4 linked regions of the Caenorhabditis elegans genome follow. The protein of the gene in region 1 purifies or fractionates together with the protein of each later gene. This does not show direct contact. Each region holds a gene or a part of one and is shown in the gene's direction. Other genes may lie near its edges.

Region 1 (6,998 bases):
AAATTGTTTCATTAAGTCAACAAATAAAAAAGTGATAAAATTGAACATCATTGACCGCATTTTTGCTTCCTGAAACTACATGTAGAATTGATACAAAAAAATAGTCAACAACAAAATGTGATAAGACGCGAAAAATTCTGGTGACGTGAGAATTCCACTTTTCAGTTATTCAGTATTGTCTAGGAGAGTTCTGGAAGTCACTTGATTTTTTTGTCCTATTTCCTTTTTACGTGCAAAACAATATTTCGTCAATTTCCCACGACCCATATACACTTTTATCGGATAATCGTATTGAATTTTCCACGAGTTTAGTAAAATAATAAATTTTGATAATACCAACTGCAAGGTCTCAAGATTTTGGTTTTTTTAAGTCTTTAGGATTCTGAGTTGCACACAGAGCTGAAAACTGTATATTTTTTTGCGTACTTTAAGTAAGCCTTTATGGAAACTACAATATCACGTACTTTTCAGTAAGTAACGGTTACTGTACTCGTACTTTTGTATCAGCCAACCGAAGTTGAACAAAGAATAGCAGACACCTATCCTTGTATTGAAATTGCTTGTGTACTTAAATTTGAAATATTCTACATTAAATTTCTTGTAGATCAATTTTTAGAACAAGTTTCTCTGACGATTTTTAGGAAGGACTGGAAAATCTTCATGGATCTGGAATTTGGAGTCAAATTTTTGCCCTAGTTTGTCCTAACTTTATCAAGAAGTTTGCAAACCTTAGGCTAACCTTAGACATGATCTCTTTAATGTAACCTCTTTGTTCATTCTAAGGTCTCAAATTTCATAAAGATGTTGTCAAAAAATGACCTTGGGTTTAACAGAGTCTTAAACTTTTTTGGCACCCAAAGCGTTTCAAATTTGAATTCCTTGACTCCAACTTAGAAAAGTTTCATAGATTTATGGCGGCCTGCACCGAGCTTTCTACAATACTTTCTAGTACTTTTTACTTTTTAGTACTAATATCTAGTATCTAGTATCTAGTATCTAGTATCTAGTATCTAGTACTTTCTAGTACTTTCTACAGTTTCTACAGAGTTTTGTACTAATTCTGCTCAACTTTTCAGCTTTTGGGCAAAACTAGGGGACTGCGCCTTGCCTACTAGAGCCACCAATTTTTAAAAAATGTATCAACATCAAGAAATCAGAAACCAAAATTTCCACATATCAATCTTCTTTCTTCATCAATGTCTCAGAACCCCGAACATTGTAATTTTTGCTCCCTAAGCTTGGCCGAAAAAAAAACAAGCCGAAAATTATTGATGTTGTTTAGACCGAAAAAGAAGGGACTTAACACGTGACCAGTGCATCCTCTGGAAGACGCTCCCAAAGCGGCCACCCATTTTGCCTCCTTGTTTTTCTCATCTCGGCCTTCTCCTCCTCTTTCTCCTGCCACCCAACACAGCTCTCCGCTCTTGCTTCATCTTCTCCCCTCTTTTTTGTGCGTTTGTCTCTCTCTTCTTGTGCCCGCTCTCTGTCTATGAAATTCGATTTTTTCGTCTTCCTCACATACTTCCTTTGTCAACTTTCGTCTTTCAAGAAAAAAAACATGTTTCACTTTAGTTCATTTATTTCTCACGCGTGACTGTGACTTTTTTTGTTTGCTTCCAGAAATGTCCGAGGATAACTTGCAAATGGTGGTCGTCCAGGCCCAGAACTGCGGAGTTCTTCATGTCTACGTTCAGGGAAATTTGGAGGAGCGTGGCGGAAAAACCATCATCCTGACCGTTCACGATATTGGAACTAACCGTGAGTGAATTGGGAATTTTACTGAAAAAAAAAAATGTTATGTTGAATTGTTCAAAACTGGAACTCAAAGATAATAACTGCCAAAAATATTATTCCATTTCTAGAAAATTTTGGCAAAACTTTTTATATAGGTAGTTTCCTCAAATCAAAATGAATTATATACTAGCATTTTGAAAAATTTAGTGAGATTCGGTCTATATATTCGTTCCTCTAAAATTTTAACTCTGAATAACAGAATGTTTGAGACAAAAAGTCATATTATTAATAAGCATATGATTTTTAAAATTTGAACATTTTTTGGAACTTTCGGTTAAATCAAAAAGTCACTGCAAATTTTAAAATATCAATTTTTATTTCACTCCCATTATTTGTCAGAAAGCTTGATATTTTTGAATTTTCAGAAATTATTTTTCAATCTCGATGTATTTTTCTTTGTGTCCGTATGATGTTTTTGAGACAAAAAATCAACAATCCGCCGCTTTTAGATTAAACTTTAAGATTTATAAATATCCAATCTAAAATCCCAGTCGTAAAACATAATACAAGGGACTGAAAAATGTTTGATGTAGTAAAATTTTTTTTACATGGATAACTATGAAAGTTTTGCTTTCAAATTACTGAACTATGACGTCATTTTGAAACATGAGTTTTTGAAAAATTTAGTTATATTTAACTAATTTAGAATTAAGGTTTATTTTAGCACACTTAACAATTTTTGCTAGATTCAGTTTTAAAAATTTAAACTACTATAAAAGTTTAAAAAATTATTTCAAAACATATTTTAGGCTTTTTTCTATTAGGTGCACTTTTCAATAAATGTGTAATTCTTTGATCATGAGAATCAAATTCAAAAAATATATAAGAATTCCAAATTTTCAGACAAGAGTTTTGTGCGTTTCGTCAACCACCCAAGCATGGCTACCGTCAAGGAGAAGGCCATCTTTCTCCACGTCTGCGTTCCGGGACAGGAGGACAATTCGGCCGACTTTTTCGGCGACTTCCCAACTCTTGACGGAATCGGAGATGATCTGAGTGCAGTGCTCGACAAATTCGAAGTCAAGTCAGCAATCGCTTTTGGAGAAGGAGTCGGAGCCAATATCATCTGCCGATTTGCAGTGAGTTCATAATATTTGATCTTTAAGAACATTTGTTTGTAGTTGGGTTAGTTTTGAAAAAGAAGAATCACTATTTGCCTTGGATTTACTTACTTTTTCGCGAGTTTTGGATAGAAAAAATAAACGAACAACTGGCCAGTGGCAAACAATGATGTTTTTTTTGAAAACTTCATCAGAAAATTTTGAGCAAACTTTTTTCAGATGGGACACCCGAACAGAATCATGGGAATCGTCTTGGTGCACTGCACATCTACGACTGCTGGAATTATTGAGTACTGCAAGGAAAAGGTAAGCGCATCAATTTGTCATTCAATACATGCTGATGCACGGTGTTGTAACAGAATGATAATTGATCTGCATTGAGCTGGCTCGGCACTCGGCTCAATACTTTGCCGCCGCCGGCCGCCAACGTCATTTTGACGAGCAATGAGCAGTAGGGAGTCCTCCAAGAGGGTGGGAAGAAGCTAAAAAAAGAATTTTGAATGAGGATGGAGGGCCAAAAGGAAAATAATTTTTTGGGAAAAAAATGAGCGAGGAAAATTTGATTATATCAAGATGAAAACCGCTGAAAAAAAAGAGAGAGAGAGAGGGGAATCGTTGAAGATTGCTTCATGAAAGGCAATGACGTAGAGGGGTCAAAAGATCCAAAACTTCTTAAGATTGGTTTTTCTTAATGGAAACTTCTAAAATTCTGTTATAAAAGTACAAGCCCAAGCAAAGAAATTACTAGAAAACGTGGAGCAAATTCTCATTGAAAAGATTTAATATTGAATGTTGTTCTAAAGCGCGCTCCAAGGAGTTAAATGTTCCAAAAACTATAAAAACTTACGGAATCAAAAAATGGTTATCAGATTTTCCTCTATAGATATGTAATGACTATTTTTACTAATATTTAAAACAAAACAGTTCGTTGGAAAATTCCCAAATCTCAACGATTGAAGAAAGTTTACACGATATATTCTTTGCTTTATCAAACTGCATGCCGAAACTTTGACTAGAAATTTTAAAAAATTTGAAGTTTTTTGGATGTTTTATCATGATATTTGGTCGTTTTGAATTATTATAAGTGTATTCAAACAAAAATTCCCACAGGCGCGCGACTCCACTTTTAAGAAAGCTCATAATAACCAAATTCAAGACTTTGAAAATTCATAAAAAATTTTGAACTGTCATTAAATTTTTTGAGACATTTTTTAAAATATTACGTTGCCCCGCTTGGAACATGCGTTCAAGTTGAAGCATTACAGAGTCTCCCGTAAAACATTTCTAAAGAAATCCTAATTTTTAAAAATTGTCATTTTATGTAGTACGCTAAAATTAGATATAAAGACAGTTAAAACCAATTGGTTCAACTGATGAAATTTATAAAAAAATGATTTTCAATCTCATACATTTGCAGGTCATGAACATGCGTTTGGAGAACTCCATCATGTCGGACGGTGCCTGGGACTACTTGCTAGCCCACAAATTTGGAGGAGTAAGTTTTCTCAACTGGAAAATTATTCACTGCTTGCTTTCCTAAACATTTTTGTAACTGTCTTCTAACATTTCATTTCAGGGAGATGTAAGTCTACTTACTAGCTGGTTCTGTAATGATTTTAAACTTTTAACAAGTGATTTTTAGAATTTGTAGTATTTTTCTTTCGATTCTTTTTTTTTTTTTCACCATCAGTGATTCTTGGTTGCTTGCTCTTACGAAAATTGGATCCATCGATCTTAGATTTTAGCCCCTGAAATGCGTTGTACATATGTGGGAAAGCACATGTTTTTGTTGTAATAGAAAATCGAAAATAATTAAGCAATAAAAAATAAACTCTCTACTTTCAGGAATCCAAATCTCGCCAGGAATACTTGGAAGAGCTCAAGGCCACCTTGAACCCAAAGAACTTGTCCAAGTACCTCGTCGCTTTCACCAAACGTACTGATCTCTCCTCAACTATTGGAACAAAGCTCGAGACGTGAGTTTCCTACTGAACCGCTGATATTAGTATACTATACTTTCAGAGTGGACGCACTTTTGGTGACTGGAAGCAAGGCTTCTCATCTCCACACGGTTTACACGACTCACAAGTCGATGAACAAGAAGAAAACGACTCTGTTGGTGGTGGACAACGTGGCCGATGTTATGCAAGAGGCTGTAAGTTACAGTTTATGTTTTGAAAAAAAATATTGATGAAATCGAATCCTGCACATAATTCTGATCTCTTGAAACAAATTTTCGCATAATTTACACGTGTATGTCTTTGAACTCAAATTTCACAGATTTCATTGACTTTTTTGAACAAAAAGTACCATAAAATTTTTTTTTTTAATTTCGAATTCTGAAACTAACTTCAACCTCTTTTTTTTTAATTTTTTTTCTGAATTTCTGAGTTTCTGAACCTATTCTCTGTTTTCACGTGGAAATATTAATTTTTATCAATACTGATTTATCAATACTGATATTAAATAATCCATACATAATTCAAAATTACTTTATATAGTGCTTCCATGGGAGGCAGGCGCGTTTCAGGGCCTGAAGTCTGTCTCCAGCCTGCCGGCCTCTCGCCTCATTTCTGCACACTTTTCGGGTTCCGCGCCACACTATACAGGTGGCGCGGCGCGAGGCAGGCGCGGCAGCCTACATGAAAACCCTAGCTTCATATAACATACGAGAGAAACCGGGGAAAAACTTCAGTAGGATATTTATCCTTGGAGACAAATATTCCGGGGCGAAATAATGTTTTTGAATGGAGTTTCAACCTTAAAAAGAAGAAACAAATATCAAAATGGGCATTTTTTTATACAAATGGAATTATTCAAAAAAAAAAACTTTCCCTCGATTTTTCCTCCCCAAAGTAAAATGTTCCAAATCCTACGTGGAATAGCACCAATAAGAATTTTGTCAAAAACGGACAGTCGGAAAAATCTGAAAATTTTTGAAAATTGCTGCTTTTTTTCGAGGTTTTCAGCGGAACGTTTATCATTTCCAATCTCCCAAATTTCAGCCAGACAAGCTCGCCCGCTCGCTGATCCTTCTCTGCAAAGGATGCGGAGTGCTCTCGGGAGTCGCCATCCCAGGAATGGAGCGCCAAAGAACTCTGTCCAGCTCGATGGAAGAGGCCGACCGCCCGCGTCGCATGTCCGTCACCCAACCACATCTTCCACCAGTCCCATCTGCTTAAGAATCTGTACGTTTTCCTATGTCTCTATTTTGTACTTTTCTTTGATTTTCTTTTTTTTTTCGATTTTCCCAACTCTCTACGCCCCAAGTCCCATTCCCACCCCATCTGAAAAAACCAAAAATATATATTTATCCCAACAACAAAAATGGTTGTAATTCTTTTTTTTCAGTTCCAATATCCCCACATTTTGTCTGCCGCAATTTGGACCTCTTTTTATATTTTGTGTGTTGTATGGTTACCCCCCCCCCCTAAAAACAATGTCCTTGAAAAAAGCTTGAAATTCCTTCAAATATTCAATCTATCTTCTATCTTATACTATCGGCATTCTCAATTTCAACGCAACCTTTTCAGTTGAGTTTCTCTATACATTTTACACACACACACATTCTATCTTTCCATTTTATATTTTATTCAAAACGAACTTTTTCCGGATAAAATAAATATAGAATATTGGGCGGTGAACGTTTTTTTTCTTCTTTTTCTTCTTTTTTTTTTGAGGATTCGGATAATACATTTTTGATTCAAAAAGAGAAAATTGGGTAGGTGGTTGAAGAGGGGAAAATGTACATGTACATGGAAGGGGAAAAAATATCACACTAGCAAACATTCAGAAAAAAAATTACAAAAAAAAACGATTGGCAATCAATTTCACACGTTGTCCTCGCGGTCTCCGCCGGTGTAGTTGTACTTGTCGGTGAAAAACGAGTAGGCTTTGAGGACAATTGTCAGGAACCAAACTTCAATGATTACCACGGCGAGCGAGATGAAAATTTCCAAAACTATCAGAAGTTCCTCTTCTGGAAATGAAGCAAAATTAATAAATTGAAATGGTATACTGTACATCCATTTTGGTTGCCACATTTGTTTTTTTTTTCAATTTTGTTTTCCATATTTGCCAAAGTTTGCAGTTTTGTCATCCAAATACTGTACACGATTAGGAATATTTTATAATATCAGCTGG
Region 2 (4,590 bases), on another chromosome or scaffold:
ATGTAACCTATTACTGTATGTCCAAGTCGGCCGTAGATCAATTCACAAAATGTTTGGCTCTCGAAATGGCTCCGAATGGAGTTCGTGTTAATGCTGTTTGGTGAGTTTTCTCGCGATTTTTGCCAAAAAACTACGGTGCCAGGTCTCGAAGCGATCGATTCTCTTTAAGGAGTACTGTAATTACGATTTTTTCGGTTTTTAGGTTTTTTAAAGAAATATTCGAAAAATAAGAAAACATATACATTTCTTCCAAAAAGAAGAAAAATTGTCAAAATTTCAAGATATTTTGCGAAAAATCGGAAAAATATTTATTTTTGAAATCGAAAATATTTTTGGCTTTTTTTTTTTCGAAAAATCGAAAAATTATCGGAAAATATGAGTAAGAACGAAATCACAAAAAAAAACTAGGAAAATTTCCTGAAAATTCTAACTTTTTGCCGAATTTTCATAGGTTTTCTTGTTTTTGTTCAAATTTTGATGCATTTTTATATTTTTTGAATAAAAACGAATTTTTTAAAAGACAGGAGCTAAACTATGGAAAATTGCTTTAAAAATCTCGCAAAAACTAGGAGTAAGTAACTACAGTACACTACAGTACTCCTTTAAAGGCGCACGCACTTTTGAATTGAAAAAAAAAAGATCGCTTCGAGACCGGTTACCGTATTTTGGTGCAAAAATCGCTAACTTTCTCATTTTTTGTCGAATGAAACGCTAACAACACACGTATTACGGGAACACAAAATTTTGGGAATTCGTCTTACGCAACATATTTGACGCGCAAAATATCAAAACTACAGTAATCCTTTAACTGACTACTGTACTGCTTGTGTCGATTTACGGGCTCGATTTTGGAAATTAATTTATTTTCTTCGTTTCTTCGTATTATTTTCTCATTTTCAATAATCTTTTGATAAATAAAAAAACCCGTAAATCGGCACAAGTGCAACAGTAGTCATTTAAAGAATTACTGTAGTTTTGATATTTTGCGCGTCACATATGATGCGCAATACGCATTCTCAAAATATTGTGTTCCCTTAATAAACCCATATAAATTTGTCATTTCTCCAAAAATTTCAGCCCAGGGGTCACCGTGACCAACCTGCATCGTACATCTGGTCAAGACGAGACAACATATTCTGCGGTATAAAACCTGCTGCACTGACCTTGACAAATAAATATCATCATTTCTTTCAGTTCTTGGAACGTAGTAAAACGACACACGCACTCGGCCGTCCCGGTGATGCCAATGAAGTTGCTGAGGCAATCTATTTCCTCGCCTCTGAGAAAAGTTCATTCACTACTGGAGAACTTCTTCGTGTTGACGGAGGCCGCGGAATCATGCATCCGAGATAAATATTAGCTTTTTTGTCTCATATTGAGATTGTTTTGAACTTTTATCATGTAATAAATAGAGAGATACATGTATTTTTTTTAATTGTGTTTTTATTGAATCCTTTATAGTGGTTTTTTCCTTGCTTAATTTTTTTTTTTTTTGAAAAAAAATCGATTTTTTTTTGATTCAGTTTTGAATTTATTCAGAGTATCCGAAAATGCCAGTCGCCATCATCACCGGAGCAAGTTCGGGAATCGGAAAAGGCACGGCTCTTCTGTTCGCGAAAAAAAAGTACCAACTCTCGCTGACCGGAAGAAATACGGATTCTTTGAAGGAAGTCGCAGCACTATGTATTTCAGAGGGTGCAATTTCGGCTGATGATGTGAGTTTTATATTTTAGGAACTGTGACGGAAAGTACAGTATTACGGGAACACAGAATTCTGAGATTGCGTATTGCGCAACATATTTGACGCGCAAAATATCTCGTAGCGAAAACTACAGTAATCCTTCAAATTACTACTGTAACTCTGGTGTCGTAAATCAACACAAGCGCTACAGTAGTCATTTAAAGAATTACTGTAGTTTTGATATTTTGCGCGTCAATTATGTTGTGCATTACGCATTCTCAGAATTTTGTGTTCTCATGATAGCAGTTATCACAAAAAAATTTCGATTTTTTTTCCTCGTTTGTAATTTTTGGAAACACCGTTTTTTTGTCGAAAAAACAAAAAAAATTATTTTTTTAATTAAAAAAAACCGCCGCCATGGTCTTGACACATACAAAAAAAAATATTAAAACTCATCGAATATCAAGAAGTATACTAAAAATCATTAAAAATTACAAACACTTGCAGGTACTGTAGCTATGAATTTTATTATGTCGTTTCGAGACCAAAAATCGCAAAATTTTGCAAAAAAAGGGGATTGAACGTTTTTAGGTGGAAAAAATAGCGACATCAATTAAAAAATCGATTTTCATTCCAGATTCTGATAACTGCAGTGGAGCTGAGCTCTGATGAGGCGCCCAAAGCAATTGTGGATGCAACTGTACAAAAATTCGGAAGAATTGACTCATTGGTGAGGATATTCAGTTCGAAACAATTTGAAACTATCGAGAGAAAAGTTTTTCGGAAATTTAGAGTTTATCCATTTATTATTTACAAAATTTTCAGAAACGCGTACATAGAGGATCACGGATTTATTCGGTTGGGTCTTGCCACGAAAAATGTTTTTGCGCGGTGAGACCCAACTAGATAATTGCGTGCGCCTTTAAGTTCGTATCCCAGGAACAATTGCGGAACTACAATAGGTTTTTTTTCAATTTTATGAAGTCAATACTATTCAAAATTTAAACTTGAAAAATAAAAAACTTCACTTTTCCAGGATCCATAGTTTTTTTTTCGAGAAATTTCCCATTCTACCCTTAAAATATTCTAAATTTCAGATCAATTCGGCCGGGATTCTGCGTGCCGGACCAGTTCTCGATTCTGGAATTGAAGTCTACGATGAGCTAATGAATGTGAATGTTCGTAGTTTGATCCGCCTGACACGTGCAGCTCTTCCACATATTATTACAACAAAAGGAACTGTTGTCAATGTCAGCAGTATTAATGGACCGTGCCCTGTATGATTTTTCTTTTGGAAATTAAAAAAAAATATATTTCGAATTCGCAATTTTCAGTTCGCTGGGGTCACATATTACTGTATGTCCAAATCGGCCGTAGATCAATTCACAAAATGTTTGGCTCTGGAAATGGCTCCGAATGGAGTTCGTGTTAATGCTGTTTGGTGAGATTTAAATATTTTCATATTAAGAGCCCAAAAATTGAGAATAATTAAAATAAATTTCAGCCCAGGAGTCATTGTAACCAACATTCATCGAGCATCTGGGCAGGATGAAGCTACATATGCGGCAGTAAGTCTATTCTAACGACACGCAAGAAGTAATGGGCGGAGTCGGAAGCGCAACTCCGCCGCACGATTCTATTTTAATTAAAATTTTAACTGTTTTTTTAAAATATTCACAGCAAGATCAAATAATTAAAGTAATTCTAAAGCAAGATTTCGATTATTCAACCTGACAAATTAAGATAAATTGATTGTTTGATTTTTAAAAATGCGGAAAAATAGACGAAAAACAGTGCGGCGGAGTTGCATTTTCAACTCCGCCCATTATTCCTTGCGCGCCCTTTTCTGTGGGTCAAATTCTACACAGCGACATTACGGGAACACGAAATGCTGAGAATGCGTACTGCACATCATATTTGACGCGCAAATTATCTCGTAGCGAAAACTACAGTAGTTCTTTGAATGACTACTGTACTCGGTAGTTTGGCTCCCTTGGCGCGCGACGAGGGTGCGACTGGCGCGCGGACGGGGCGCGACTAGACTACTGTCTCGCGATCTAGTCGCACAATTTTCGCGCGCCGAGCGCATTTCTTTCGCACACACTACGCGCCCGGTTCGATTTTTTTCTCGCTCCCGCCGATTTTCATATTAAAATTGAAATCTTAGATTAATAAGAATTGCGTTTATTACAACAACGAACAATGGAAAAATAAAATTAAAAAATTAACGGATTGAAGACAGCTTGGCTGCAGGTCAATTGAATCCTAGACGGCGAGAGACTGGTGTTGCAAACCAGCTAGAGCTACTATGGCAGCGCCGAATGTGATTTTGGAGAGAAGATTCGAGTCGTTGAGGTAGAAAACACGACGGAGATGTGGATAAACTGCCATCATGGCGAGCTGCTCGAAGATCGGTGAAGAGGATTGACCAATCTGAAATATTAAGACGGTGAAACCGCAGTTGAAGCTTATAAGCTTATAAGCTAGCCTACATTGCCCGTCGAGAACTTGATTGGTTTCGGGAGCTCAAATTGTCTACAGAATTCCTCCGGCGGCACTTCCCAACGCTGGTCAACTTCTTCCCGTTCAACTTTTGTGGCAATCATGACACACGGCGTTTTTGTTCTGTAAATATTGAAATTATTGGGAATTGGATCTTGAAAACCCACCTATAGAAATATTTCTGATAAACTGTGGCGCAGAACGCGAATGAATTCGAGACATCATAGAGGAAAGCGACGACGGCCGCCGACGTCTCGCCGGACCCCAGCGCATCTTGTGGTGAGAGAACATCAACTTCACGCAGAAGCAGGTACTTGCTCTCCTCTTTCACTCGGACACGATTGATAACGAATGGAGAATGACGACGTCCTATTTGTGCTACATCAGCCATTCCACGTCCTGCTAGG
Region 3 (5,015 bases), on another chromosome or scaffold:
ATGCCATTACATTTTTATCCAAACCAAATGAATAGATTTCTGATTAGTGTGTACTTGAACGGAAAAGCTTCAATATTGCCATAATTGTGGTACATATATACATTCATCCCACTACAGTATCCTTTTCTGAAAAGATTGCAAAGTGTTGTATAGAAGAAGAGACGCAGATAATCAAACAAGACGTCTGCGCTCGTGTATGTTTGTCTCTGGACAGACATACACACAGAAACACCGACAATGAAGATATGAAGACACACAGACACACAGAAAGCCGTCATCGATTCTCCTGTTTTCTTTGAGCCTTATTTATATTTTTCTTATTACTCCGACGCGTAATTTTGAGATTTTTGCGCCAAAAACGGTACCCAGTCTCGACATGATATTTTTTTTAATGTGATAATTTCAAAACGGTGCACACCTTTGGAGAGTACTTTAATTACAAACTTTTGTAGTTGCGGAATGTTCATCGATTTTCCATCGTATTCCGATGAAAAACATCCTTAACTATTGAAAACTCAAAAAAAAACACGAATTTTAACAGAACGTAAGAAAAGTATGAAAAATCATGAACGGTTCCACACCAACTAGATTAAAAAATTACAGTACTCCTTGAAGGCGCACAAGTTTTTCTCATTTAACTAAAACATGTCGTGTCGAGAATCGGCACCGTATTCTTGGCGCAGGAGTCGCAAAACCTCTGTCTGTGTATTTAGTAATGTAGATTTTCAAGTTTTCTGAAAAATTAATGTATATTTGTAAGTTCAGAATGAGTAGAAAAGATTGCAAAAATATTGTCGAAGACGAAGAAGAAGATGAGAAGAGTAATGGGAATAAATCTGAAAGTCCACAAAATGCTGGCCTAGAAGAAACAATTCAGAATTTTATAGCAACATTTTTACCTGGTTCAAGTGATGAGTAAGAGTAGTAAATAGCATATTAAAATTTTTTTTAAGTTTCAGACCTCATATTACGGATATTCCAAGTTCATCCGAACCTCAAGAAGGATCTAGAGAATGCAGACTCTCCAAAGAAGCACATCGGAAACGTCTGAGAAGAGCTCGTGAAACATCAGAGGAGACTCACACACGTCTTGCCAAGGCTGCAGACTATAAAAGGAAGAGATGCTCAGAAGAGACAGAAGAAGAATATAGAGAACGATTGAAAAGGCAAGCTGAAAGAAAAAAAATGGAAAGAATGCAAGAGTCGGAAGATCAGGCAAATAATCGAAGAATAAAGGCTGCAGAGCATCGACGCCAGTATCTGCAAAGGGAGTCATTCGAAAAAGCTCAGGAAAGAAGGAATAAGGATGCGGAACGGAGAAGGAAGAGTCTCCTGGCTGAAACTCCAGAAGAAGCTGAATTGCGTAGAGCCAAGAATGCTCAGAGACGTCGGGATGCTATTAAGAATGAAACACCAGAGGAAGCTGAAAATCGGCGACAGCGTGATGCAGCAAGAAGACGGCAATATTTGCAGACGGAGACTTCAGAGCAAAAATCAGCTAGGAAAATCCAAGATGCTGCACGAAAACGTCAAAATCGAATTTTGAAGCAAGCAGGGCAAAGTGAAGAATCACTTGCAGTCATCACGGGATCATTGAGCGATGGAACTCTTTCGGGTCTATAAAAATTAATTGAAAATTTTTTTAATAAATAAGTAGTTTGTTGTTTGACCTTTTGCTTTTAAAACCGATAAAATCGTATTAATTTTTTGAATCAACGGTCCGCTCATTTCCACCTATCAGTCTTTAAATTCTGTTGAATCGCAATAAAAACGGCAAGTTTCATCTCTTGTTTGCAACAAAACAGAGAAACTGATAAGACTGATAACGATCAGTGGTCTGATCGATAGTCGATTTCTGTTTTAACACATTTATTCTGAAGTTCTAGAATTTTATTTGTTATTTTAATATTTTCAGGCACAAAATGTTTGCAAGGATAGTGAGCAGAAGAGCAGCAACTGGATTATTTGCCGGAGCCAGCTCCCAGGTTTGTGTGTGCACTTTCGCGTGGGATCAGTTGTAAAATACGCATGGCGCGAATATTTGAATTTGTAAAAATTTTGCCCGCTCAAAGTTGCAATTTGCTTTTCTCTCCCCATTTTCATTCCCAAAACGGCACCGTCCATGGTTCACTCGTTGTTTCTGATCAGAAAGTGATCTTCATCATAATATCTTGCCATTTTCCGCCTTTCACTCAGTTATCTCGGGCTTGTCTCCGACTTGTCCAGCAATAGAAATATCGTTGACATTGACCCACAGGCGCCGCTTTTGTTGCTTTGATAACAACTTGGTAACTGATAAACTCTATTCACTTCTTTATTTTTATTTTTAATGATCATCTCTGTGATGTTGCATTGATAATCGTAGTTCTCTATTTTCTCCGCGTATATTTTTACCATAAGCTGTGAAAATGTCTTGCTCCGTTGTTTCTTTTTGCAGTTCTGAATAACACATGTACACGCTGCAGTATCGTTTGCACTTGTTTTAAATGGTTTCTTTGCATAGTTTTCTGTAGCAATGTTTTGTGTTTGCATTTGAAAGTTATCTGCATTATATTTTTGTTATTAGAGACCACTTTTTTGTTTTTATTACTAAGTTAGTGTACACTTGTTAAAACCACGCTCGAATACCTCTTTAATTACAATTTCTAATGAGTAACTTTTGACTTATCAGTTTTGATCTACGATCCGGGATGCGCCCAATCTCGAAAACTTCCCGGTTCAGATATCATCATAGCCTACCGCGAATCCAGTTTTATTCTTATTTTCTCCACACTTTCCCATGCATATACGTGTTGCCAACGCGTCAGCTTTTGTGTTGAATATGTTCCCGATTTTTTCGCTTCTTTGCTTAATTTAATTTGGTTTTACAGTGTAAAATGGCTGATCGTCAAGTGCACACACCATTGGCTAAAGTTCAGCGCCACAAGTACACCAACAACGAGAACATTTTGGTGGACCATGTTGAGAAAGTTGATCCAGAAGTTTTCGATATCATGAAAAATGTAAGACTTAATGTTTCTCAAATCTTAGTCATTTGTTTTTTTCAGGAGAAGAAGCGGCAGCGTCGTGGACTTGAGCTCATCGCTTCCGAGAACTTCACAAGCAAGGCTGTTATGGATGCTCTTGGCTCGGCAATGTGCAACAAATACAGTGAAGGATACCCTGGAGCTCGGTATTACGGAGGAAATGAGTTCATCGATCAGATGGAGCTCCTTTGCCAGAAGAGAGCTCTTGAGGTATTCGGACTTGATCCAGCCAAGTGGGGAGTCAATGTGCAGCCATTGTCCGGATCACCAGCCAATTTCGCAGTCTACACTGCCATCGTTGGATCCAATGGACGCATTATGGGCCTCGATCTTCCAGATGGAGGTCATTTGACTCATGGGTAAGGTTATCTAGATTAGACTCGAATGAATTATACATTTAATTTCAGATTCTTCACCCCAGCTCGCAAAGTCTCTGCGACTTCTGAATTCTTCCAGTCTCTTCCATACAAGGTTGATCCAACAACTGGATTGATCGACTATGACAAGCTTGAGCAGAATGCAATGCTTTTCCGTCCAAAAGCCATCATTGCCGGAGTTTCCTGCTACGCTCGTCATCTCGATTATGAACGTTTCCGTAAGATTGCCACAAAGGCTGGAGCCTATTTGATGTCTGATATGGCTCACATCTCCGGACTTGTTGCCGCTGGACTTATCCCATCACCATTCGAGTATTCTGATGTTGTAACCACAACGACGCACAAGTCGCTCAGAGGACCACGTGGAGCTTTGATCTTCTACAGAAAGGGTGTCCGATCTACCAACGCAAAGGGAGTTGACACTTTGTATGATTTGGAGGAGAAGATCAACTCGGCCGTGTTCCCAGGACTTCAAGGTGGACCACACAATCACACTATTGCTGGAATTGCCGTTGCTTTGAGACAATGCCTTTCTGAAGATTTTGTTCAGTACGGAGAGCAAGTGTTGAAGAATGCCAAAACCTTGGCCGAGAGAATGAAGAAGCATGGATATGCTTTGGCAACCGGAGGAACCGACAATCATTTGTTGCTTGTTGACTTGCGCCCAATCGGAGTTGAAGGAGCTCGTGCTGAGCATGTGCTTGATCTCGCTCATATTGCTTGCAACAAGAATACGTGCCCAGGAGACGTTTCTGCTTTGAGACCAGGAGGCATTCGTCTCGGAACTCCAGCTCTCACCTCCCGTGGATTCCAGGAGCAAGATTTCGAGAAAGTCGGAGATTTCATTCATGAGGGTATGTTTTTTCAACTGTAATCTTCAACATTAATCTAAAATATTGATTTCAGGTGTTCAAATCGCAAAGAAGTACAATGCTGAGGCTGGAAAGACATTGAAAGACTTCAAATCATTCACTGAGACCAATGAACCATTCAAGAAAGACGTCGCTGATCTCGCCAAACGTGTTGAGGAGTTCTCCACGAAGTTCGAGATTCCAGGAAACGAAACTTTCTAATTTTAATCATCATCGTCATTATCAACATTGCATTTGTATTTATAAAAACATTCCCGCCATTTTATCACTTTCATGTTTGAATTTTAAACAGGAGAAATAAATATTGATCTTTTCAAATTTAATTGTTTTTTTATATTTAGAAAGCAATTGAGATTATCTACGGCATTTGGCATAAGCCGTATGCTGAATTTTCTGAATGCCGCACACATCTGGACCCTTCTACAGTTCTCTCACAGTGATGTTTGGGGTAGCTGTTTAATGCAACGTTCACCGACTTTTTTCCATTTGTGTTTAATTCAAATCAGACCAGAACTTTATTTAACAAAACAAGCTACCGAAAGAAATAAATAAAACCAGAGCCAACAAACGGGGAAATGATGGAAGAATAATAAGAATATAAAAGAACAGGCAAACTAGCATGCAAACTGCAAGTCCGAAATCTTGATCTTGCTACTTCCTGGGAATGCCTTCTTCATCTCATTGAGTTTTGATGGATGAACAGCAATTGAACGGACAAAGCACTTCTCATCGAAAAGACG
Region 4 (2,917 bases), 8.8 Mb from region 1:
ACAGCAGAACTCGTAATTTTCGAATCAGAATTATTTGAACTTTAAAAACAGTTTTTCAGAGAAACGCAGAACTGGAAAAGCTTCAAAAAGCGAAGGAGCTCGAGCAACGAACTAGGGTTGAATGTCAACAGGCTCTTGACCAATACGATGTACTGAAAAAAATCCCAACATTGACGGAACAAGAACGGAAAGAAAACGAGACGCTCACCAAAAAGAAAATAGCTAAAGCCATTATTGCTGCACAAAAAGCTTCTCAAGCTGTGATGGATGCACGTGTAATTATGGGAGCCAAAGGCGAGGAACTGACAAAGTGAAAATAATTGATTTGTCTGTTAAAATTTCTAAATTATTGAAATTTTATAATTAATAGGTCTCAATCTGATGCAGTCTTTCCATATGAACATTGTTGCATTGTCTTAATTCTGACATGGTCTTGGTACATTGTCTGTCCAACATTTCAAAGCAAAATATCATTATTTGGGAAAATCTTTAAAAGCATTTATATGTTGTTAAAATGACCCAATATCAAAACGCAAAACGTTAGAAAAAAATTATCTATGAGCAGTTAGTTCGATGATATTGGTTGAAAACTCAGTTAAATATGACTATACTTTTGTAAGTCGGCCAAAACATGTTTTTTTGAATTTTCGCCAATTTTTAACCATGTTTTAAATAGTTGTCATTGACCAATATAGAAATTTTAAACCTGCTGCATCGCTTCCATTTTTTTTTCAAAAAATTTACTTAAAAAAGGCCAGTTACCAAAACTTCGATTGAAAATTTTGAATTCCCTATTCACAATGGGAGATCAGAAGCAAAGACAAGGAAATGAAAAATTATATCAACACTTTTCCCATAGGGAGTGAATTAATTTTGACTCTTAAAGCTAGACAATGTGCGAATATTTTGAATGTTACCACATGATAAGTTTTTTGTTAGAGTTATGCGATATTGAGTCATAAATCGGTTATAATATCATACAAAGGATCTTAGGTTTCTAGGGAAGTTAATAGAAACAGTCTATGCGGGAAAATCTGAAACGGAATGAATAACCTCACGTTCAAAGATATAGTTGCAAAAAAATATTAAATGTTGTTTCAAACCGCTCCGAATACAAATGCCACAAGTCCTTTCATAATTTTCAGAAACAATAAAGTTTTATCTAAAACTAATCCATTGCCTCGAACCTCTCGGTAAATCTAGTGGACACTATTTTGTTAAACAACTTTTACTTACTATGAATCTAAACTTATTTGATGACTATTTTTGCAGTCTTACAAAATTGAATAAGTTGAACAACATTATTTTTCCAGATGAACATCAGAGCGGAATAAAACACTGAAACGTTGTGGAAACTAAATACTACCGCCGAAACAGTAATATATTTCTGGAAAAAAATAAACACCTACTTCTCTTACTTTGTGGTATTTTTACTCGAAAACAGTTATATATTCAAAATATAGTTTCATTAATTTTTTAAATTCATGTTTATGTCGTGGCGTGGCAATAATACTAAATGTTTATATTAACTTGAAAGTTCGCAAAAAATTGATCATAAACGAGTTTATATTTGTACATTACCTACTCGTTCTATCCAAAGAAAGTTTAAATATATTTACAAATAACAACGTAAGTTGACGTTATTCTAAATGTCATACATCTGGATCGTTAAAAAACAGTTATCATGCATTGCAACATAGTATAAATGTTTAGTACATTCCTGCAAGCCGGACAATTTTCCTATTTATCACGAGTTTAATGCATATGTTGTCGATCTGTAACCTTTTTTCTATTCCATACATTATGCTCTCCGCTTTCGACGCTGCTTCTTATCAAATGGTCAAGTAATCAAAATTGGGAAGTTTTTGCTATAAATGCGCCCCTATCACCGCGTGCTCTTTCAATTCTTCCTTGCGTTTTGATGCTTCAGTGTTTCATTTCAATTTATTTTATTACAGAATGAAGACTCTTCTTGTACTAGCCGTTTTGGTCGCCGTTGCCTCAGGACTTGCCATCCCAGAAAATAGAAGCGCATTGAGCTGTCAAATGTGTGAGTTGGTTGTCAAGAAATACGAAGGATCCGCCGATAAGGATGCCAATGTCATCAAGAAGGTAATAAATCCGTGCTAGAAAAAAACCAACAACTCTTGAATATTCTAGGATTTCGATGCTGAATGCAAGAAGCTTTTCCACACCATCCCATTCGGAACCAGAGAATGCGATCATTACGTCAACAGCAAGGTAGACCCAATCATTCACGAGCTGGAAGGAGGAACCGCTCCAAAGGATGTGTGCACCAAGCTTAACGAATGCCCATAAACGGATCATTGAAATTTTTACTTGTTTGAAACTTTTACCAATAAATTTTCGATTTTTAAAAGTTTCAACCAGAATTTTGATAAATATAGAATAATTGTGACCAGAAATGTATTGGACCTTATTTTTTAGAAAGGGCCTCAAGTCTAATAACGAATCATAATAGTACTGATAAGGACTGTAATCCAAAAAGCTTCAATCCAGGAGAGTGGGGAACAATTGAAAAAATGTGTATCATTATGATTTTAGAGTTTGGAACTTGCCCGGTCTGCACACCATGTACACGTGACTGTTATTGCTTGAAACGCTGAAAGCTCGTTGCAAGCTTTTCTTGAGTTTCTAGAATTATCTTGAAGCTTGAAAGCTTTTCGCGCACAATTATTGATTGAACAGCGAAAAATGAGTACACTTTTTTCAAAACCTTTGATACTTTTTTGACACATTAGGAGTTTGGTTTGATAAGTTTTCTTTGTGAAATTGTCCTGCCCTGGACACCTAATTTTTACAGATAACAACATACAATTTCAGGGAAGTGCCGCGTCTTGATGATTTGCAATATATAATACCTGTAACTTTTTCACAATTATCGAAACTGTGATCA

Evidence for each region.
Region 2: the proteins of ndrr-2 (region 1) and Y47G6A.21 fractionate together in Caenorhabditis elegans (co-fractionation; one large-scale study listed by BioGRID). This does not show direct contact.
Region 3: the proteins of ndrr-2 (region 1) and mel-32 fractionate together in Caenorhabditis elegans (co-fractionation; one large-scale study listed by BioGRID). This does not show direct contact.
Region 4: the proteins of ndrr-2 (region 1) and spp-5 fractionate together in Caenorhabditis elegans (co-fractionation; one large-scale study listed by BioGRID). This does not show direct contact.

Annotation. Positions count from the first base shown.
Region 1 is NC_003284.9:16,123,438-16,130,435, reverse strand, and holds ndrr-2 (NDRG family member Related), read left to right. Parts: upstream 1-1,620; 5' UTR 1,621-1,622; coding exon 1,623-1,758; intron 1,759-2,637; coding exon 2,638-2,873; intron 2,874-3,074; coding exon 3,075-3,161; intron 3,162-4,272; coding exon 4,273-4,350; intron 4,351-4,700; coding exon 4,701-4,831; intron 4,832-4,877; coding exon 4,878-5,010; intron 5,011-5,860; coding exon 5,861-6,037; 3' UTR 6,038-6,494; downstream 6,495-6,998. Other genes in the region: ZK1073.2 (uncharacterized protein), read right to left, coding at 6,686-6,834.
Region 2 is NC_003279.8:3,556,757-3,561,346, reverse strand, and holds the start of Y47G6A.21 (DeHydrogenases, Short chain), read left to right. Parts: upstream 1-1,539; 5' UTR 1,540-1,550; coding exon 1,551-1,715; intron 1,716-2,318; coding exon 2,319-2,411; intron 2,412-2,778; coding exon 2,779-2,958; intron 2,959-3,015; coding exon 3,016-3,122; intron 3,123-3,185; coding exon 3,186-3,249; intron 3,250-3,944; coding exon of another isoform or gene 3,945-4,114; intron 4,115-4,173; coding exon of another isoform or gene 4,174-4,306; intron 4,307-4,350; coding exon of another isoform or gene 4,351-4,590. Other genes in the region: Y47G6A.22 (DeHydrogenases, Short chain), read left to right, coding at 1-100, 1,078-1,141, 1,195-1,353.
Region 3 is NC_003281.10:6,439,723-6,444,737, reverse strand, and holds mel-32 (Serine hydroxymethyltransferase), read left to right. Parts: upstream 1-1,922; coding exon 1,923-1,985; intron 1,986-2,870; coding exon 2,871-3,002; intron 3,003-3,047; coding exon 3,048-3,385; intron 3,386-3,433; coding exon 3,434-4,257; intron 4,258-4,309; coding exon 4,310-4,476; downstream 4,477-5,015. Other genes in the region: C05D11.13 (Vicilin-like seed storage protein At2g18540), read left to right, coding at 767-915, 954-1,623; C05D11.1 (uncharacterized protein), read right to left, coding at 4,890-5,015. UniProt on the Caenorhabditis elegans protein: Interconversion of serine and glycine.
Region 4 is NC_003284.9:7,319,396-7,322,312, reverse strand, and holds spp-5 (Saposin B-type domain-containing protein), read left to right. Parts: upstream 1-1,958; 5' UTR 1,959-1,959; coding exon 1,960-2,112; intron 2,113-2,160; coding exon 2,161-2,319; 3' UTR 2,320-2,376; downstream 2,377-2,917. Other genes in the region: T08A9.13 (uncharacterized protein), read left to right, coding at 1-12, 60-314.